Linked DNA regions of Diceros bicornis minor. The protein of the gene in region 1 interacts with the protein of each later gene in a biochemical or structural test. Links are inferred from orthologs where the notes say so. Each region holds a gene or a part of one and is shown in the gene's direction. Other genes may lie near its edges. The genes, in order: SATB1 and PIAS1.

What was found.
Region 2: the proteins of SATB1 (region 1) and PIAS1 form a complex in vitro, tested with the Homo sapiens proteins (2 studies listed by BioGRID, with this or other methods). The link is inferred for Diceros bicornis minor from reciprocal best matches to the Homo sapiens genes SATB1 and PIAS1.

Annotation. Positions count from the first base shown.
Region 1 is NC_080741.1:24,480,170-24,490,856, reverse strand, and holds the start of SATB1 (DNA-binding protein SATB1), read left to right. Parts: upstream 1-6,033; 5' UTR 6,034-6,230; intron 6,231-10,687. UniProt on the Homo sapiens protein: Crucial silencing factor contributing to the initiation of X inactivation mediated by Xist RNA that occurs during embryogenesis and in lymphoma.
Region 2 is NC_080744.1:61,952,404-61,963,276, forward strand, and holds the start of PIAS1 (E3 SUMO-protein ligase PIAS1), read left to right. Parts: upstream 1-5,862; 5' UTR 5,863-6,361; coding exon 6,362-6,394; intron 6,395-10,873. UniProt on the Homo sapiens protein: Functions as an E3-type small ubiquitin-like modifier (SUMO) ligase, stabilizing the interaction between UBE2I and the substrate, and as a SUMO-tethering factor. Catalyzes sumoylation of various proteins, such as CEBPB, MRE11, MTA1, PTK2 and PML.

The DNA of each region.
Region 1 (10,687 bases):
GAAAAAAAAGGAGGAGGATTGGCAATAGATGTTAGCTCAGGGCTGATCTTCCTCACACAAAAAAAAATTGAAAAATTAAACATCGTTAAGACAGTCTTAGGCACATATATATGGGATAGACTGAGCTATAATATACTCTGAAGGGTAGTAATAAAGAGTTTGGCTTTCACTAGAAAGCCTATACAAATGGGTCTATTGTAGTCTACTCTACAGAGCCTGAGAGTACAGGGTTTCAGGGCCTGGTACAACACCCATCCGTTAGCCAGCATTCCTTATAATGTGGCAGGATCAGTAAGCTGAGTCCTTGACAATAGATATTCTGATGCTGTGCTGATCTTTGTGTCCTGCACTGAATGATTTATGCAATTTTAAAAACCAATAATATTTATCATAGACAGGTACAGAAAAATTATATATGATCAATATCAGATCATTGTACTCTTGAAAAATAAACAGTCTAGCAAAGGAAGTATACGGCATAAGGAGCACTTGAAAAATGTGCTCTTCTTCTAAAACTTTAGCTTTCTTCTCCTTCATTCATTAGCTCTCCAAATATTTATCGGGCTCCTTCTACATACATGGAAAACTGTATCCTATAAAATGGGCAGTGTTATAAAGGGCTTTGCATCATCCCTCAAATGGTTACAGAGTACCAACTATGGCCTCCCAGGCTCCAGACTTTTCCTGTCCACTTTGCCACCAGAGTGATCTTTCTAAAGAGATTTGATGGTTATGCCCATCCTTACAACCTTTACTGACTCCTTATCTCATACATGAGACTCCTCATGTCTCATGTAGCAGATAGTGACTAGTGGTCCTTAATCTGATTTTGACCTCTAGACATGTTTCCCTCCTACACACAAGTACTTTAAAATGTGAATAAGTTCTCAACATTTAATATTTCCATTTTTCATATAAACTGAATTTGCAGCTTCTCTTTAAAAACTTGAAGATCCAACATTCGGCATCATTGGCATTGAGTATCCCATTTAGACAGAGAATATACTCTCCAGGTTGTCCCAGTCCCCACCACTGCTTATGGTCTCAACTTGGTCTGCTTTGCTCACATATCCAAGGTAGACATAAGAGTTTGCAATCCCCGATGGAGGGGATAACGTCTAAACTCTGGAGCAAGTCTACAAGGTTCTTCACAATGTGGAGCTCTCTGGTCTCATCCTTTGCAAAGACCTCATGTTCCAGCCACACTGAAATTCTTGTAGTCCTCTAAACAACAAGCTTTGTCCTCCTCAATGCCTCTATTCATGCTGGTTTCTCTGCTTGAAATATCCTCCCTCCATCTTCCTTTTCTGTCTAGAGGAGTCTCACTTATCCTCAAGAGTTAGTTCAATTCCTCTATGGAACTCTCCTAAATCCTACCAGAGTTACTTGCTTCTTCCCAAGTGTTTCCATAGCACTTTGTGCCTTTATTAGAATTGCAATGACTTTTTCTTTCTGTCTGCCCAATCATAAAATGTGTTTCTTGCAGAGGAGAACTCTTAATCATCTCCACTCTATTAAGGAGTGCCTGGCTTCTTAATAGAGTGCCTGGCTTCTAGTAGGTACATGATGAATATTTATTGAATGAACAAAAAGTTGGATGAATGAATACTTCCAAAAGAATTTTTTATTTGTGTTATAAGATTTTGACACTTAAAATAAGGGAAGTAACTACTCAAACCAAATTTCAAATTTTGATAATGATCATGACATCTTCAGATAATAGTTCTTGAAAGTTCCTGTTCATTGTACCCTTTCCAGAAAACAAGTAAATATACAAAGAGTAACTTAAAATTGATAGGGTGCCACACTTTAGGGGGAGAGAGCTGGGACTGCAGTGCTGTATTCAAAGAGAGAGTAGGTGGTGAAAGAAGCCACTTTGTGACTACTTTCTCCCTCTCTTATAGGGAGATAACGCTATATCTCCCTATAAGCTGGTGGCCCCTCAGGCAGTGTTTACCCTGAAGAATGGGACATTTGGGGCACAAAGCGGCAGGAAGAGATCCTGTAGCTGGAGGCTATCATGTGGACAAGGGTCACTACGAGTATGGTAGTCCTTAGAGCTGTGCACCACAGGTCTCTACTTTTGGGCACAAGGTAGGCTGCACCATCTGGCCTCGTTGTGACGATTCCATGGAGCCAGGCAACTAGTCCTGGCCAATTAGTTGTGAGCCCAAATGATGCATGTCACTTCTGCCCACAGCATTTAAATGCCAGCATGAGACCCACAGAGTGATCTTTATTTTTGCCATAGCAACATAAAACATTCAAGATGGCAACTGTTTCATCAGCCTAGGACCCTGAATATGGAGACATGGGACAGACCAGGTGACCTGCAATGTACTCATAGCATGACCAGGAAAACAACTTTTGCTGTTACAGGCCACTAAAAATCGGAATTGTTTGTCACTTTGGCATAACATAGTCTATTCTGACTAATACAACAGATTTCCTCTGTTTTGCTGCAAACGGCAGAACTAAGACTGGTGGTCAAAAGTTTCAGAAAGACCAGTTCTGTGCAATTTAAGAAAAAAGGTAATACAGTGTACAAAGATGGAATGAACTACTTAGGATCTTACTCATTCATTCCCACAATGCACATCGAACTCTACTCTGTGCTAAGTATTCTGTAGATAAAATCCCTGCCTTTATGGAGGGAAGTGGTGAGTTCTCCTTCACCCAAGATGTTTGCACTGACGGCCCCTAAAAGGTTTGACGGGACAAATTAACTTTAAAAATACCCTCCAACCTGGAGCTTCAGCATGTCTATTTCCTCTGGTCTAAAAGAGAAAAAAAATCTATTTCCTCAAGTATTCCTTTGATTCAAATCATTTACTGATCCATTGAGTTGTCTTTTCACATTTTAATGTCATTTTTCCAGCAAATAAGTGCCTTAAAGTCCAATGCTGTTTTATCCTTCCTCTATATCTTTCTTATCCTATTTAGTAGGCAATACTTTATTGTCTATTCTCCTAGGAAAATAATCAGCTTTTGACACTAGCTATTATTAGTGACCATCTGATATGTTTCCGGTTTACTTGTCTTTAGTAAGTTAGATTCCGACTTGTTAAAAAAATCTAGGTGCACAAATGTATTACCCTAATAACTTTCCGGCAAAGTGCCTTTTTCTTCTGAAAGAAGCCCTAGCCCTGTACTATTGAATTTGTGGCCAATTACAATATTTCATTAACATCTTAATTCAGTAAGTATTTAATGTATTCCTACTATGCGCCAGGGGGCAACGTTTACATAAGAGTTTATCAAGATATGTTACTTAATGTACTGTACCCACCATTACACAATTCTGTATTATAATAGAACCTATGAGTTCTCTGTATAAGACCAGTTAGGGGGGAAAAAAGCAAATTCAAAAGGTTGGGGCAAAATGTTCCCTTGATTTAATGCAGGGGAACATATCACACCTTAAATTCTAGGGGCTTAGTTGATAACTTGGGGGAGTAGAAGAGTATGTAAGAGTGTGTAAGGGAGAAAAAATAATTCTTTTTCTGTATTTCAATTTTTATTAAGCTTCATTTCAGGCTTTCAGAATTGGAGAATCAGCTGCCTGCTACAAGAAATTGCTAATAAGCAGTAGTAATTAAAGACTGAGAATTTATTCTTTCTGTTCCAAACCTGATGTCATCCCCAGATGGAGATATTGGTACTGGTTAGGCAATTCAGCATTTTGGTAAATTAAGGCAGGAGGATTTGGTGTCTCCTGGGTGGTGTGGAGGCAGAAAGTGTTCCAGTAAGAAAAATTTGTGTTTCATTTTCTTTGCCCATTGCAATCATTTATACTTTTTTCCTTTGCCTTATAGAACCAGGAGTTGAGGTGGGCACTTAAGTCTTAAAAATCAGGGCTAGTACTCTAAAAACACTAACTCACAAACTTCTTATATTCTTATGTCTTTGGAATTGTTGTCTCTGCATAAATGACAATCAACTGAAAAAGACGGATAAATTCCAGCAAATTCAATACTGATTGATAGAAAAGAACTGGCATGTCAGAAAGCAGCATGACTACACTGTGCTACTCTCCTTTATTTAGAAAAACCGCACAAAAATACAGCACAGTTGATGTGTTTGTTACCAGAACTTGAAAGTAGAATCAGCCACTGTGTAAAAGATAAAATAAGACTGCACGGATAACAGGATTTTCCCAGCATGCTGTACTTTGTTCATAGACATCTGATAGAAGAGGACCTAACAGAGCTTTTAGGAAAAACTGAATTCTCAGCCCACAGTCACTTTCCAGGAACTTCACTGCAAACAGTACTCTGCGCTGGCGGGATGGAGATCTTAGCAATCTCACTCCTGCTTCCATAGTTTCCTTCTCTCTAAATACAATTCTTTATGGGGACTTAATGAGAGAGCAAGCTTTGTGTGAAAGGAACTCAAGAAAGTGCAGCTTCTAAAAATATACCGAGGCGGCTCTACAGTCCTTATTATTACTGAGGTTTTGCCGTTCATGCCATGAACCTAACAACTCCACACACACACAAAGAAAAAAAGTAATGACTATGTTTTTTCTTTCTGCAATCCCCTAAACTTTGAGTAAACAGTAGTAATTTTCTGTTGTCATACTCAATGCAAATTTCCTTAAAACGACACAACACATAACAAAAGACCTGTTAGCAACCTTAGAGCTGGGGGAAGAATGGTAGGAGGAGAGGGGCAAAATTGACCTAGGTCCAGCTTCTCCTGAGCCTGGGGTGCTGACCCTCCAGTCACTCTGATCTTGCAGACGTTTTTGGAGTTTCAGTCTCCTTTTGGGAAGGTTCCCAGGCCCCTTCTCCTCTGCAAGTCCCCCAATCATTAAATCCTTATCTCTCGCCGTCTCTGCTTCCAGGTTTTTGGAGAAATTGGACCTCAGCTTAGGCGTCTTTTTTCCAGTGGGTTGAAGTACAGCTGCTGATGGGAGGATAAATATTAAATGGGCAGGGGTGCGGCGTGAGGGTCTGCAAGAGGGCCCCCTCCTCCTTCCGCCACGTTGGGATGCAGCGCTCCTGGATGGGGCGCTGAGAGGGGCGAGGGTGGGGTGAAAGGACATGGACAAGGCAGGCTGTAAGGGAAGGAGGCCCTCTAGGAAAGATCATCTCGGCTGAACATGACAAGAGAAAAAAATTGGCCCACATGCCCCTAGTGGGGAGCGATACATCCCACGCAGGCTGGTTGGGGGGGGCTGCATCGGGGCTTCTCACCTGACTTCCTCCTCCGCTGGCACACACACTACAATCACCACTTCCCCCCCTCACCCCCCCCAAAAAAAAGCTCAGCCAAACAACCAACAACAAGAGGAAGCCGCAGGCGGCAAGAGGAGGGGTGCGCGCGGTGGGGGCCCCGGAGTGGTGAGGGGGCAGGGTGGCGAGCGTCGAGAACCGCGCCGCGCACCCCCAGGCGCACTCCCAGGCGCCCACACTTACCCCTGGCAGCTGAGGGTCCGGTCTTCGGCGCCAATCCCAGTGCGCGTCCCCCGCCCGCCCTCGTCTCTCCGGCCCGCCGCCCCCCACGCCCCGGCCGGCGCGCTGGGAGGGAGCCTGGGAGCGGCGCGCGGCAGCGGCGGCGGCTCGGGCTCGGCTCGGCTCGGGCTCCAGCGCGCCTAGTGGTGCCGCCGGCCGCCGAGGCTCCACCGCCAGGGGGAGAAGCCGGGGCGGGCGCTGGGGAGGCGGGTTGGGCCCTCGCCGCCCCTCCGGCCAGCCCGCGCCGCACAAGCTCCGAAGCGGCGGCGACGCGGGGTCCGCCGAGCCCCCGGGCGCAGCGTGCCCGGCCCGAGGAGCCGCGGCTGGATGCGCGCCCCGGGCGGCTGCGGGCTCCCGCGGGGGGCGCCCCGGCCGCTCCGGTGCGCCTCTAGACTGCGGGCGCGGCGACCGCCGAGCCGAGAGCAGCTCCCGCCGGCCCCTTCCCCCTCCCGCCCCCGCCGCCGCCCCCTCCCCCTCCCCCCTGTTAACATCTCCTCCCTCCCCCCCTTCTCTTCCTTCCCTCGGCCCCGCGCGCTCGCTCGCTCGCTCCTCGCCTCGCTCTCCCCTTTAAACGCCCACTTCGGATGGGGAAAGAAGACAACTTGAAGTCAAGTTGCAATTAACTTCCGCGGCAGCCGCAGCTCCGGCGGCGGCGGCACAAGAGGCAGAAGCCGCCGCCTCGGAAGTCCGACGCCGGCGCGCCCGCCCGGGGAGCCGTTCCTGGTCTCCGGCCCGCACTCGACAGCCACCGCCGCCCCCAACGCCCATGCCTGAGTGAGTTGTGCTCTTTTGCCTCTCTTTTCCGCCCCCCCACTCTTGCTTTTTATCTCTGTCTCTCTCTTTTTCCGGAATCGATCCAAACTTCTCTGTAGCACCCACCCCCGGCGCCCCTTGTTGGGGCGGCTCGGCTCTCCTCTCGTGGGCGCCCGGCGGCAGGGGTCTTCCGAGCCCCTTTCTCGCGCAGCCGGATCCCGGAGGGGTGGGCCGGCAGAGTGAGGAAGAGCACCCGAGATGGGAAACTTGAAGATGCCATTCGTTCTCTCTCAGGGTGTGGACACACTAACACACCTGCCCGACAGACCCTGGCTGAACAAACTCCTTCAGGTCATCAGTGTGACTCCTTTTGGAAGAGAAAAGGGGAGTGGAAAAGACCGAAGTCAGCAAACGGGAAAAGGGAGAGCCTCTCTGTGCTCCCCGGAGCCGGGCTGGCAGAAGGGTGCCCGCCGGAGTAGGCTGGGGGAGTGGAAACGTTCCCCCGCCGGATCGCGAGTGAGCTCAGCATCCTTCCTCGGTCCATCTCCGCCTTCCTCCGCCCCCCCACTGGCGCGGCTGGTTGGGAGCGGTGGTGGAGAGGGGCCTGGGAAGTTTGCGGCAACTTCTCCATCCTGGGAGGCACTCGGGCGCCGGGGCGCTCAAGTTGGAGCCGGGAGTTTGAAAGCCGCGGGACTCCGCGTTTCGAGCCCTCGCCGGCTGTAGTGAGGTCCAGAAGGGGTTCCTGGCGTGCTTGGAGGTTATGAGTTGGGCTGGAGGCGGGAAGAGGTGCTGCCCTCTTTGCAGGGACCGAAACATCACAGGTGCGGCCTCGGAGTCCACACCGTGTCTCCCTCCTGCAGTCCCGACCCGAGCGCGGCGGCCTTCTCCGAGCGCTCCACTGAGTCTCCCGGGGCGGCAGAGCGTGGGTTTGGGCAACCACGATGACAGGGACGAAGCAGGCAGGTGGCAGGTCCGGGGAGTGACACGCGTGTACCGGGGAAGGGCACTGAGCGGGACTCTTGGGATGACCTCAGGAGACGGAGAGGGGCTTAGGGCTCTAGCTAGAGGCTTTGGCCCGGACCTCCACCAGGGCGTTGCAAATTTCATTTACAAGTGCCAACCACAGGATCGCCTCTCTAAGTACCCTGGTTGGCAACTTTGACCTTTGCGCCCTTCCTCCGCGAACTTTCTCGGCGGCGTTCCGGATTTCCAGGCAAATGTTTTAAGACTTGGACTCCCATGATAGTAAAAGAGAAGGGAAAACAGAAAGACGTCTTATTCTCAGGAGAGAACCTTTCTGCCCTGGCTGGGGTTCCATGCTTGCGTTCCTGGAGGCCAGGGGACCTGACTTTCCCAAGAAGAGAAGGAGGGGGTAAGAATGAGTCAAACGCTACTGCTCAGTGTCAGGTTTGTCCTAAGTAGTCCCTGAATCTACAGTGTTTGTGCTGCTGATGGAGTAACTCATCCCGTTGAAACTTTATTGAAATTTACACCTTATCTAAAGTGGATTTTCCTGAGATGTCAGGAATGTAAGATTTATTCTATAGTCAAACGTAGCTGCAAAAAACCCGTACTTTAAGACGGAAGAAAGCCAAGGTTGAGGTGTTTGCTCTAAAAACCTTTAATCTGTTGTGTGGTACCAGTGCTACGATTTAGCAGCGGTCCTTTATTTCTATGCGTATTATTTTAGTAGAACAGTAGTACATTCATATACTGGCTGCTCCAGTCTGCTGGCAAACATTAGCATTCAAGCTTACATTTTTGACAAATGTGCAGACAGGAATAGCATGAATAGGCATCTTAAATATTAACAACCTAAGCATCTGTTGTGAAACAAATTTAATATATTTACTGTGTTTTTCTCACATTGTTAGAAAAGGTTATAATAAGTGCATAATTTCAACTTTAGTTAGCAGAAGTAACTGGCTGTATCTTTCACTACCTCTCCAAGTGTTTAACACAATCACCAGACATAAATACTTTAATTAACTTGGTTAGGCACATTATTAAATACACTTTAGACAATGTGCATACTATGTAAAATGGAACAGTAGCAAAATATGTATCCTATTTGTGCACATTTTAAATGACTATACATTTTGTAAATATACCAAGCATGTTTATTCTTCATCTCCATTTGACACTTATTACTTCATATTTTTTCTAATGGAAACAATATTTTAAATGTAGAGTTGTTCGGTCATATGTAATACATAATATGTAAACAGTAGCTATAAAATACAAAGCATTGTTAAATTTGAGTATGGCTACATGTAACGAGATTATACAAGAGAAATAAAAATCACTGCTCAATTTTGTATTCCTTTCTGAATAATGAATACAAATGATGGATGAAAAAACAACAAATAGGGATTTCCCTCCTAAAGTAACTAGTGCCTTAAAATGTGTGGGGGATGGGGGTGCGGGGCAAGGGGAAGGGGAAAAAAGAGATAGAGAAGACCTAAAGAACTTAGAAAAGTCTGAATAGTTATTTCCAGAATCAATGCATTCCTCATTTTCCCACAAGCTGAAATATGTAATAAATAATAGTGCTTTGTATATAAAAGTATTCAAAAGGAATGCCTTTTGTTCAGTTGTTGTAATAAATTAATATATTCTTTGGTTGATAATCTACAAAAGTAGTTCTTTTGTCTCACAGCATCTTAAACAAGAACAACAACAAAATGAATGTTGGTTGATTTCTGCAAGGAAGTCTGTTGCCAGCTATATGAACCTGCGATTGAATAAGATATGATATGCTGAGTGATGGTTAAGAAAGATTACATTAAGTTAGCAAAGACTGAAATATCTGGAGGAGATTTTCAATTATTTTTTCATGTGACAGGTTGTGGATTGTAAATTAGGCCTAAAAGTTCAGGTGACAGCCACCTGTTCCTCATTATTGTAAAAATCTTTTGGTTACAAACACTATTAAGCTAAACACAACATGGATATACAGCAGGGACTCTATAAAGCACTCTAGTGGTTTTTCATCTGCTCTGTAAATTTCCAGAAGGGCCATACATAGATATGCCCTTTACACAAACCATCATTTCGTCCAAGACGTGTCGTTTTGGATGACTCTAATATTGTATTAGTACTGGGATTGATGAAGTATGTAAAATAAATGCATATGACTGAATCAATCTTCAGACTGTCTAGACATGTTGTAGCTGAATGCAAACATATTTCTTAAACTCCTCTGTTTCCTTTATAATCCATTGATGACTTATCAGAATTTGTTCATATTTTAAATAGAAACCTCCCCAAATTACCTTTTATAGTTTTTAGATAAGGTGAGTTCCCATTTTAAATGACGCCATGAAATATTTTCCTTGGTACTTCTATATAAGGAGAAAATTAGTTGCTCTATACCGTCATAGCTTTGTGGTATATGGAAAATGGGAAGAAAACCACATTTTACATGAACGCTGTTAGGAATGGTATCATCATTTGATGTTCAAACTTGCCACTTCTCTCGGGAGAGTTCAGTAATATTTCTATTAGAGTTCAAGAGTGTGATTTGATTTTTATGAATGGTTTACCTTTAGGTATTTCAGAGAGCAGAATAAGCATACATATTGAACAGACCTGAGCAGCACAAGGTTGCAAAATATTAAAGGTGCCAGTTGCTTTTAATTAGCAAAGGAGGAGGATTTTGAGTAAATTCAGTAACTCAGATTATTAAATTCTATATTTAAATATGTTCTTTGTCTTTTGGTTTTGTAGAGTTTATGCTTCTTACATTAAGTATTCATTTTTAGCATTTATGATCAGATTACAGAACAGTCATTACTCTTGCTTTTCAAATTGATTTGGTTTTGAAACTCGGAAACTCTGGGATGATTTTATTGAATTGGTTTACATTTTGACAGAACAGAGTTAAGTTAATTAATAGATCAGGCACGAAAAATCATCCACGGTAGGGTGTATTTTCTGGTAAAATGAAAGTTATGTTTCAGCATGATGAGCATCAGGCTTCAGTAATCTGTTCCTCGTGTGGAATGAACACTTCCTACTTCGAGCTAGCAGGCACCTACTGTTTATTTACGCTGCATTAAGCTGACAGCTCAGCAATCAGAGGAAAAATATTACTTACCTTCCTGAAGTAAATACCAGTTTATAGGTTAGTGCACGTATTTATATTCCTGTCACCACTAAATAACGGCTCTGTCTCCATTTTAATATCTACCTGTACTATAATCCAGGGCTTCAGACTCTTCCTGGTTGGGGGTAGGGGTCGAGAGGAGTTTTTCTGATCATTTTCCAGTGGCAAAACTTTAAAGAAGAGTAATTTCATTTTATCATTTCTGTCATGTGAGAACCAGTTGAGAGAAATGTTAGGCACTTTTATTTTACATACCTCAACCATAACATCAAAACTCCAAAAGAATCCACATGCCACTTAAAATAGTCATCTTAGAGCAACCTCAGGACATATATGTTCAAACACATTCAACTGTGTATTTGCTAAATTA
Region 2 (10,873 bases), on another chromosome or scaffold:
AAAGCTATGCCTAACCCCAGGTCATGGAAATTTACTCCTAAGTTTTCTTGTAAGTGTTTTATAGTTTTAACTCATATTTAGGTCTATGATTCATTTTGAGTTAATTTTTATGTGTTGGGTGAAGACCACAATAGTTTTAGGGTCCCACAAAAATGCTTTAAATCTTTAAAACCATAAGAAAAAAATAAGTATACTTGCTTGGATTACATTAGTCTTTATACTAATGTAGTTGTAAAACATAATTTTTAATATTTTTTTATGGAAGAAGAGGCCTCTGAGATTCCTTCTGACACCAAATACGTGTTGTCTTTTCATACCAATTCTCCAGCACCAACTGGATATCCAACAAGTCAATTTTGACAGTAACTCCAGGAGTAAGTTCAGACCCCCTAAGTTAAGGGCTCAGTCCCACAAGACTACCTCTACTTCAGATACCAGTCACCAGGCCCATGGGTCACTTGTACTTCTGACTGACCAAATTTGAGGATTCCTACAATCCCTTCCTCAGGTACGATAATTCATTGGAATGACTCACAGAACTCAGGAAAACACTTTACTTATGTTTGCTGGTTTATTATAAAAGAAACAACTCAGGAACAGTCAAATGGAAGAGATGCATAGGGCACAATACGGGGTCCGGGAGTGGGGGTGGGGGAGGGGATGCAGAGCTTCCATGTTCTCTCTGGCACTCCCCTCCCAGGACTTCCCTGTTTTCACTGACATCCCTTTAATCACGTTTGGTCTTTCTAGTGACCAGGCCCCATCCTGAAGCTATCTAGGAGCCCCACCCTGAGTCACTCCATTAGCATAAACTCAGCTGTGGTGGAAAGGGACTCATTATGAATAACAAAAGACAGTCCTACCACTCAGGAAATTTCAAGGATTTTAGGAGCTCTGTGCCAAGAACCAGGGACAAAGTCAAATCATGTTTTCTATTATACCAAAGTCCCTAGAAGGCAAAAGTGCCTAGGGCCACAAAAGTCATAATGTGATCCTATCAATTAAATAGCTTTCCCAGCAGTCCAGTTGTGAAATTATGGCAGCTTGGGGTAGGGTGATGGCAGTCGAGATCCAGTGAAATGGACAGGCTTGGGATATGTTTTAGAGGCAGAGGACTGGCTGATGGATTGGACGAGAGAGGTGAATGAAAGAGAGGAACCAAGGATGATTTCCAGATTTTTGGCTTGAACAACTGGATGAATGATGGTACCATCCACTGGGAACACTGGGAAAGGAGCAGGATTAGGGGGGAAATCAAGGCTGTCTTTGACACGATGAGTTTGAGATGACTATGAGTCATGAAGTAGAGATATTAAGTAGCCATTGGATTTATGAATCTGAGTTGTGGTGGAGATAGATGTCTGGGCTGGATGGAAATTTGAAAGTCATCAGTTTATAGACTTAAAGTCAAGGAGTTGGATGAAATCACCTGGGGAGAATAAAATAGAGAATAGGGTAAGGACTGAGCCCTGGAGCACTGAAACATTTAAAAACTGAGCCAAAGAGGAGAAATCAGCAAAGGATTTTGAAAAGGAGGCCCAGCGAGGGGACAGGAAAATCAGGACAGTGAGATGTTGAGGGAAGTTCAGGGAAAAAAGTGTTTTAAGAGAAAGGATGCTTGTCAGTTCTGCTGAGAGTTTAGTTTAGATAATAGAGAACTGGCAATTGGCTTTGGAAACATGGAGATCAACAGTAATCTTGATAAGTGATCAAGAGGGAAGTCATAGCATCAGAGTAGGCTGAGAAGTGAATGAAGTGAGGAAGGGAACAAGCACTGTAGAGAGATCTTGAAAAACCTTTCTGAGAATTCATGCAGTGAAGAGGGCAGAGAGATAGGGAGTTCTGGAGGCGATTTTGAAGTCAAGGGAGGTTTGTTTCAGATGGGAGGAATTACAGTATGTTTATATACTGATAGGAGTAATCTAATAGAGAAGGGAGAAAGCAATGGTGCTGGATGGTGAGGTAATTGTAGGAGTAAAATCCTTAGGAATGTGGGAGGCAAAGGAATCCAGGTCACTGGTGGAGGGACTGACCTTCACAGGCACAAGGACACTTCATTCATAGTAACTCAAATGTTACTACGCCAATAAGAGTAGTTTTGACGGTGAGAAGATAAGGGAGTTCATGTTATCTGTTATCTTTTAATTTTTTCCATGAGATATGAGGCAAAGTTGAGGAGCAAAAAGTGGGGTTGGAGAGGAGATAGGAGGCTTTTAGTAGAGAGGAAAAGGTGTCAAATAATTCTTTCATCACGTCTACTTAAATGTCAATTTAGAGGCGAAAGCTCTCTCAGGATTAAGTACATCTCCTCCCAGCCCCTTTTTCTCTCACTGGACGGTTCATGCTTTTCAGGTACTCATCATCCTTTGTAACTGTATCTTTATAGGTTCGCGTGTCTGTTCCCCCATTACAGAACTACAGGAGGGCAAGGACTTGGTTGTATTTAGTTTCCCAGTGTATATATAGCCCTTAGAAACAGGGCCGGTACAAAGTCACTAAATAATTACTTGAAACAAAGAAATTAATGAATGAAAGTTTTCAGAATTTTGTCTTAGGCCACTCGTGTTAAGTACTTGCTTGTGCAAGTCACTTTTCCTCTCTGAGCTTTATTCCTGAATATATACCACGGGAACAGTAGTCTCTTCCCTGCCTACCTCACCGCGTTGTCATGAGGAGGATCTGAGCTAATAAACCTGGAAATACTTCATCAAGTGATTCTTAAATGTAACTGATTGTTATTTTTAGCCCACGTGTAGCCTCGCAGGTAGCAGGTGCTGAAAAGGACTTGCTGATTGGGGGAGGGCGTATTATTGTTCCCTGTGCCTGCGGAGGGGCGGGGCTCAGGCCAGCAGCCCTCCCGCTCCGGCCTTTCCCTGGAGGCGCTAGCCGGGCGAGGATGGGGGGCGGGGAGGCCTAGGAGGGAGTAACTGTCAAATCTCTCCGCTTGGCGCCATTATTTAAATAGTACGTGTCCGTGTCGCAGCTGTACGTGCCCAGGGCGGGGCTCCGAGCGCCCGGAGCGAGGCGGAGGCCGGGGGCGGGCCGAGGAGGCGGAGGGGCGAGAGGGGACGGGCCGGGGCGGGGCCAGGCTGGCTAGAGGGGCGGGTCTAGCGGCGGCCCCCGGCGAGGTTCACTGCGCTTGCGCTGACAGACGCAAGATGGCGGACAGTGCGGAACTAAAGGTAAAGCGCAGCTCGAATTCACTTCTAATATTCGGCCGCGGAGACGGCGCCGCTGGTGCCGAGGGGGATGGGTCCGACCCTGGGGGGCCGCTCGGGCTTGACTCCATCCAGGCCTGGAGTTGTAGGGCGGAGCGGCGCGCCCGGCCCCAGCTGAGGGGGCCCGGCAGCGGCGGGCCGCGGGCCCCGGGTGCCTCGGGGGCGCTGACGGGTCGTCCCCGGCGTGTTATTGTTGTGGGCGCCTCTGGCGGGGGAGGCGGGGGAAGAGATCGCCAGTGGGGAGGTGGGGGCCGCGGCCGCCCCCGGGTCTCGGCGTGCTCACCTTCTAGGCAGCCTCCCCGCCCCCCCATGGGGAGCGGGGGCTAGGGCAGGGTGTTCGTGTCGGGGGGATTGGGAAAGCTCCCCGCCGCCGCTTCCTCTTCCTCCTTTGCAGTCCCGGGCTCCTGTCAGGCGCTCGGCTCAGACCCCCGGGAACTTGGCTCCGGCCGCCCCGCCCCTCCGTGGCTCCCTGCGGCCCCCGCCCCGGACTCGGCTCTCCCCGGCTGCCTGCCTGTCAGGAGGCGCCCGGGGTGCCCCGCTTGTGCGCAGCGCGATCCTGGGGCGATGGGGTGGGGATGTGAAGAGAAGCTCCGGGAAAGTTTAGTGAGCCTCGGGCCGGCGTTGGGGTTCGGCTGAGGGGTAGCGGGGGGGTGTGCCTGGGCGGGACGTTACTATTTCTCTCTGATTCTTGGTAAGCGGGGGGTAGAAACCCCCTCGAAGGGTGTGTGTTGGGAAGCAGTGGTGGGTGGTGGGAAGCACCTACCTCTCTCCTCTTTTCCTTCTCTTCCTTTGGCTGGTGCGGAGGGTAAGAGGAGCCTGTCGGGGTCTCTGCACACACCATGATGGCGATGCTGTAGCTGATGGAGGTGAATGGTTCGTGTTTATATCCCCCCGTTGCCTTTTGTTTGTGGGGACATCTTGCTGGCCATGTTGATTTGAACGAAATTCTCCCGTCATCCTACTTCAACCCCCAATAAATAGAACGTTCCTCCGTTCCTCTCAACTGTGCCAATTACTCACGCCTCGCGAAATTGGATGAAAGGGTGCCCCCTTTTCCCCGCTCATCCTCCCGCCCCAATCTTCTTTACCTGATGATGGCTTCTTTACCGAGGCAGATATAGCACTACACAAGCAGTTGGGGGAGGAGGGTGGAACCCTTGTGATTGGATTGTGACAAATGGGGCTCCGCTTGAATAATTTTGGTTTAGTAGCAAGCAGTTTTTAACTAACGCGTATTATTTCGAGGCTCTGAATGCGATATTCCCTACTCTGTGGCTTCCTGTGTGTGATCCAAGCAGCTGGTTGTGTCCTGACCCAGAGAACTGACATCTCTGTCAGAGTGGAGATTGGGATATACAGTTGTAAATCTTCGGGGAGAGTCCTCTTTTTATAATTAATAAAAATTGTGTAAAAAATTTTCTCCGTTATAATGAAGCGACAACTTCTAGAATAACCAAACGCCAGGTTTGTTTCTGGAGAGTTTTTCTGTGGAAAGCGTCGCTGAAAGATCGTTTTCCCCCAGTAATTTTGCAATTTTAACACTCCACAATTTGTATATTAAGGCGCTGGCTTTGAGTGTCGTTCTTTTTAAATTTACTGCTAATTACAAATAAATTTAAGGGAGAGCAGATTTAGGATGGTTGGTTTCGTTTTTTCCTGTTTCAAACTAGTGACCGAAGTGAAAAAGCCTCAAGAATTTGAATATTGGCAGGTAATTAACTCTTGAAATAAAAAAGTCCACAACTTTAAGATACATGTTTTCTATAGTTTTATTCTTGAAATGTAGTCCCTATGTGGCTGTAATCTTTGCCTTCTAATATTTATTTTGTTAGGCATCCTTTTGAATGATAGGTAATCAGTTCTGTTATACGGGGACCACAGAGTAAAGCTGAAAAGCTTGTGCTGGCTATATTGTCACTCTTGATGCTGTCCAAAGAAACTGATGTGGAAAGCACATGCTGGGAGATTTCTTCCTTTGTTCTTTCTCATTTTAAGAAAGTGCCTTTAGGGATAGATCAGATCCCTGGTGTGAGTCTTGTTAGGTAAAGTTTCTGTTTGCTAAAATGAGCCTGTATCAGATAAACGCTAAGAACTTGGGGGAAAGATTATTTTTCTAAAATTGGTCTCCTTTTTTGCTCTTTCCAAAATCTACTTGAGTTTTTCCAGAGGAGTTGTTTTCTACTTTTATGTTCCTGTTGTACATTTTTTTCAAATTATAATAACTGTTTTGACATTCAGGTCTGTCATTGTGTGTGCCCAGTACTTTGAGGAGGTGTGATAAATTGCTTAGCTGGTGATAGCTGTGTTAAAATTTTTGTTAATACTTGATTGTGGTTAGATTTGCTGTTCTTTTTTTTGGAGTGGGGAGATCATCTTAGGAACCCCTACCTTAGTTATTTGAGAATGTGTGTATATAATTTTCTGTGCAGTAAGCTTTGGAAGATACTGCTTTTGGAAATTGTATTTTCTGGTGGTTTTTTGTTTGTGGTTTTTGGAGGTAAATAGCATTTATTCCTAATAAGGTAGGAAAAGAGTAAGAATTAAGAAAAACCCAGATTTTTTTAAAGTTTTAGGTGAAAATACGGTACTTCCAATGAATTTCCAACTATGAGGCTTTGAATAAATACATTGACTTTTTTGGTATCTTAATTCACAACCCATGTTTCATTTTGCTGTGGATTGTATTCATAATTATTTTCCTCATGGTCCATTTTTGAGTCCTTGTAAATCTATAACAAATCTGCAAAGATCAGATGGGAAAATGGATAGATCTGTATCCCCTGTAGTATTAGTGCAAGCTGCAACACTTAAAGATATTGCCAATAAAAATTAGATTAAGAGTCATGCATATCAAAAAGAGTTCTCGGTGTATATTTGTTTATATACCCATAAATGACATTTGTAAGAATGTAGAGAGTGAACTTTTTGTTATGTTTAGGAATTTAAAAGCAGGAGGGTGTGATGACCAGATGATCTTGGAAGTTAATAATCTGACAGCTTCATGTAGCTCCTCTTAAAGTACTTTTTTAAAAAAAAATCACAAATGTTTTTTGCTTTAAAACTCAAAGCAAGTTGTATTGCCATTTTAACTCACAGGAGGAAGAGTGGGAAGGAAGAAGTTCTTCATTTCAGTGGAGCAAATAATGGATTTCAATGGGAAGAGAAACCGCTTAAAAGTATAGTTTTAAAAGTATCTATAAGCGTGTCAGTAAATTCTGTTGTCATATTCTGCCTCTTTATTTTCAAGAAATAGCCACTTAATTTTGCTCTTTGTGGTGTCATTGTTTGCTTTTATTTCAGATAGAAGCAAGTAAATCTGACAATTTATTCACAAATTTGATTTGAATCTCCATAACTTGCTTTTGTCAAGTGCCACATTTAGATGGCTTTTGTTTTAAGTCACCATTCTTATGAACAGTATTTGAAAACATTGTATAAAACACAGTTTTTAAGCATTTCATATAATTGTTTGGAAATTCCGCCTTTTCCTCCGCCGTTTTCTCTGGCTGATTGTATTGTCTTTCTCTTCAAAGAGTCTCTTGTAATCCCTGTTGATTGCGGTAGTGCTGAGTGGTGAGGCCATAGCTGATTAACCTTGGGTTTCTCCTGGTGAACTCCATCAGCATGCTGCTCCAGGGTTCTTGCTGAGAGTTTTGAGTTTAGTGTAATTTGTGCCCTTTCTTGCTGGTAACTAGGGATAAGAAAATAAAATGGCTCGTGGTTGTAGGGGGAACTGAGAGGAAGTATCTCAAGTTTCTGAAAAACTGGGTGTTTATGATGAATGTAGCCTTTAAAAACAAACAAAACTCCTGATTACTTCATAGGATTGATTGTAGTGTTTTCTGAAGTATTCTGTGGCATTAAGCACCTTGTTATTTCTTTTTTTAATATTTGAGTAATATTTATACAGTACTTGACAGTTCATAGTCTATCACATTATCTCATTTGGTCTTCCTAACAGTTCTTTGAGGTATAAAAGGCAGGTAATATCTCCCTTTTTATCCATGCAGTGAGCCCAGAAAGGGTAAGTGACTTGTCCAAGGTCATATAAATAAAAGTGGCAGAGACTTAAACCTAGGTCTTGTGATTTCAAAACTTTGTACTGTAGGCTGCCTTAAAGGTGCCCTGTCAGTCCTGGAGCTCTCTAGGGTGCCTTGCTCACAAAGAATTCTAGTTATGTTGTTGCTAATACTTTCCCTCTTGCTCTATGCCAGGGTATTTTTGGATATTCCTTGGGCTTTTTGCAAGGAAGATTTTGGAGTTTGTTAGTTGGAATCATAGACATTAATTCATGCAAATATAATTTTGCTTGGGAAGATTTCAGAGAATACTGAGAAGTAAGCAGAAAAATAAACAGCACCTGTAATCCCAGCATTTAGAAATCTCATGGTTAACATCTGGGTGTCTGTCCATTTAGACTGTCTCTCTGTGAGCATCTCTCTGTGAGCATACGTGTATGTATGTTCATCACAAAAAGGGATCATACTACTCTTTATTTGTAATCTGCTATTTTCTTGGCTGCCTTTCCAGGTAGTAAATATAGGTCTATATGATCATTTGAAAGGTAACATTGTATTTTATTCAACTAGTCTCTTGTCATTGAACAACTAGATGATTTCCACTTTTTTGCTATTTTAAACAGTTTCTTGACAAACAGCCTGATACAAAAGTTAGCAAATGTTTTATTCTAACTAAATATATTGATATGACAGAACTTTTTTTGTGCTTCAGAGAGCAATACAAATGGTATTTTGATTACATGAAGTGTTGTGAGTGAAATAAGTTAATTCTTTATTTCTTCATTGTCTATACCTTTATTGTTTCAGTTTCTATAAACCTGTCAGATAAGATTATTGAATTATGGCAGAGATAGAGTTTATAAAATGTAAGTAAACATTGCTTCTGAATCAGAACATTTGATAAAGTATGAAATATATTATAGAATAACATGTATAATTTATATTGAGTATGTTTGATTTTGGAAATTATAACACAGTAACAAATATTGCAAGTTTATGTGCTCATCTGTTTTTAATTAGCGTTAAGAAAAAAGCATTGCTGAATGTTAATATGAAGAAAGTGGATATGAGAATTTGCCTTACTCAGATTTTTAATCTCAAAGCAAAGTGTTGCCATAGTATTTGGTAGGTAACATTGTTTCGAGGAGGCTTTTATAGAATGGAGGTTACATAGGCAATGAAAACATTCTTCTATTTCAAGAAGGAAGCTTTATGGATTAAATCAATTAATAAATGCATATGTGAATTGAGTTAAGGATATTATTTGTGCAGCATCTGAAAAGTACTGCACTGTAGAAGGAACAGTTGATGAAATTAAGGGTGTGACATTGACATGTTAAATTTGGTCCTCACCTACACTTGCATTTATGGAACAAATTGTATCATTAGGATTTTTTTTTTTTTTAGAACACAGTTTGTATATTTATTTATTGTCTTTTTTTTTTTTTTTTTTGGAGAAAGATTGTTGCTGAGCTAATGTCTGTGCCAGTCTTCCTCTATTTTGTATATGGGTTGCCACCGTAGCATGGCTTGACGAATGGTGTAGGTCCACGCCCAGGATTCAAACTGGTGAACCCTGGGCTACCGAAGCAGAGCATGCAGACTTAACCGCTATGCCACCGGGCTGGCCCCATTAGGATTTTTTTTGAAATAGGGGATAGAGAAATTTTAAAGAATTTAGCTGGCCTTTACTGTCAATTTCAGGAGTAGTACTAATTGCCGTGCAATTTTGCTACTCTCACTGCAAGACGTTTGTGACTATACTTTCCCTTCCATGTTAAAAATTATGGAACTCCTATTACTTTTGATTCCCTCTCCTCTTGGTTTCAGTGGTGTCACATGAAAAGATAACTCCCCAAACCCCTCTTCCCCTCAGAATTTTCTGGTAAATCTTCATTCTTTGCATGAACTTCTAAAATTCATCAAAATGAAAAAACCACCTTCTTTTCTTTTCTACTTCACCTTAGATCAAGCAAACAAAACAAACATAAACCCTTTGAACATTAACTAGTAATTTTGAAATATCAATAACTCTCACAGGACTGTTGCAAATGTTCCTATTTTTTAAAAACTTCATCTCTTCCTTACCTTTCCTGCTATTCTTCTCTGCTTTCAATTTCCCCCCTTTGGTTGCCAGGTTAATTTTCCTAAAACATTCTTTTCATCCTGTCACTCCAATGGCTTTCCATCAAAAACAGGATAAAGTCTTAGCTCTTAGTTTGGTATTCAGGATTTTCTATAGTCTAACCCCAGTCTACTTTGTGTGTGTGTTTTGTCTCCTCCACTATACATATAGCAAAAGTCCTTAACTAAAACCAGAGCTGTTAGTTTCCTTCTTTCGGTTGACTAGTGTTCTGCTTTGTACACCACTCCATTCTCCCCCGTCCCTACCCTGTGGATACAGTAGGTGCTTAAGATATATTTGTCAAATGAACAGATTACGTTCAGGGTTTGTTTCTCTTAGTGAAGGGCAGGTGCACATGTCTATATGACAGTCTAAATTGTAAATGTTCTGAGATAAGGTCATATCCTCACACTTTTTTTCATGGCTGCTTCTTAGATAAACTTGAATAATATTAAATCCAGGATAATTTATGAAAGACTGTTTTAGGTTTACCTTTTACATTTCTTTAAGTTATATAGATAATAAATGAATACATTTCTTATTGGAATGATATAGCAGTAGGTAGAGTAAAATTTTAAAGGCCTTCATCATCTTCATCCCCTCCCCCCCCAGGCAAACACTTTGGTATCTTTTTTTGGGGGGGGCAGCATTACAGCTTTATTGAGATATAATTTACATCACATACATTTAAAATGCACAATAAAATGGTTTTTAATATATTCACAAAGTTGTGCAACCATTACCACGACAATTTTACAATATTTTTCTTACCCCAAAAAGAAATCCTGCACCCTTCAGCTTTCACTCCCTTTGCCCACAGCTCCACCCCATCCTCAGGCAACTGTTAATCTACTTTCTGTCTCTGTAGGTTTGCCTGTTTTGGACGTTTCATATAAATGGAATCATATAATATGTAGCCTAGTGTGTCTGACCTATTCATTTTTCTATTTGTGGTTATCAGTTAGGTATATCTGTATAATATTTGTAATTTTTTGTACGTGTATGTCTAGATTCAGAACAAACTAGGTACATAGAAGGAACTCAATAAGTATTTATTAAATGAATGTACATGTACGTAAGTATATTTTCTAAAAACAGAAGTGGGATCATACTATACGTAGTATTCTTTGACTTGCTTTTTTCATTTAACAGTATATATTGGAGATCTTTCCATGACATGTCCCAAAATGAGATGGTCTCATTCTTTTTTAACAGTGCAAATATCTCATATGTATGTTCGTAGAGGTTTACCTCTTGAGTTTATCAGTGTATATGTCTGAAAGTTCTTAACTTGTTTTGATGATTTTGTTATACTGTTTTGAAAAAAAATAGTTGTCACATTTAATGTAATCACTGTAGTATTAATATTGGAGTTTCACTTAAAAATAGGAATGAAAACTGTAACAGGGAAGGGTTATTTGGCTCGAGGAGAAATGGAATGTAGGCTCTTTGTAGGGTTCCAGCAGTGCACAACCAAAGCAATTCATTTTGTATTTGGGTTTCTGAATATG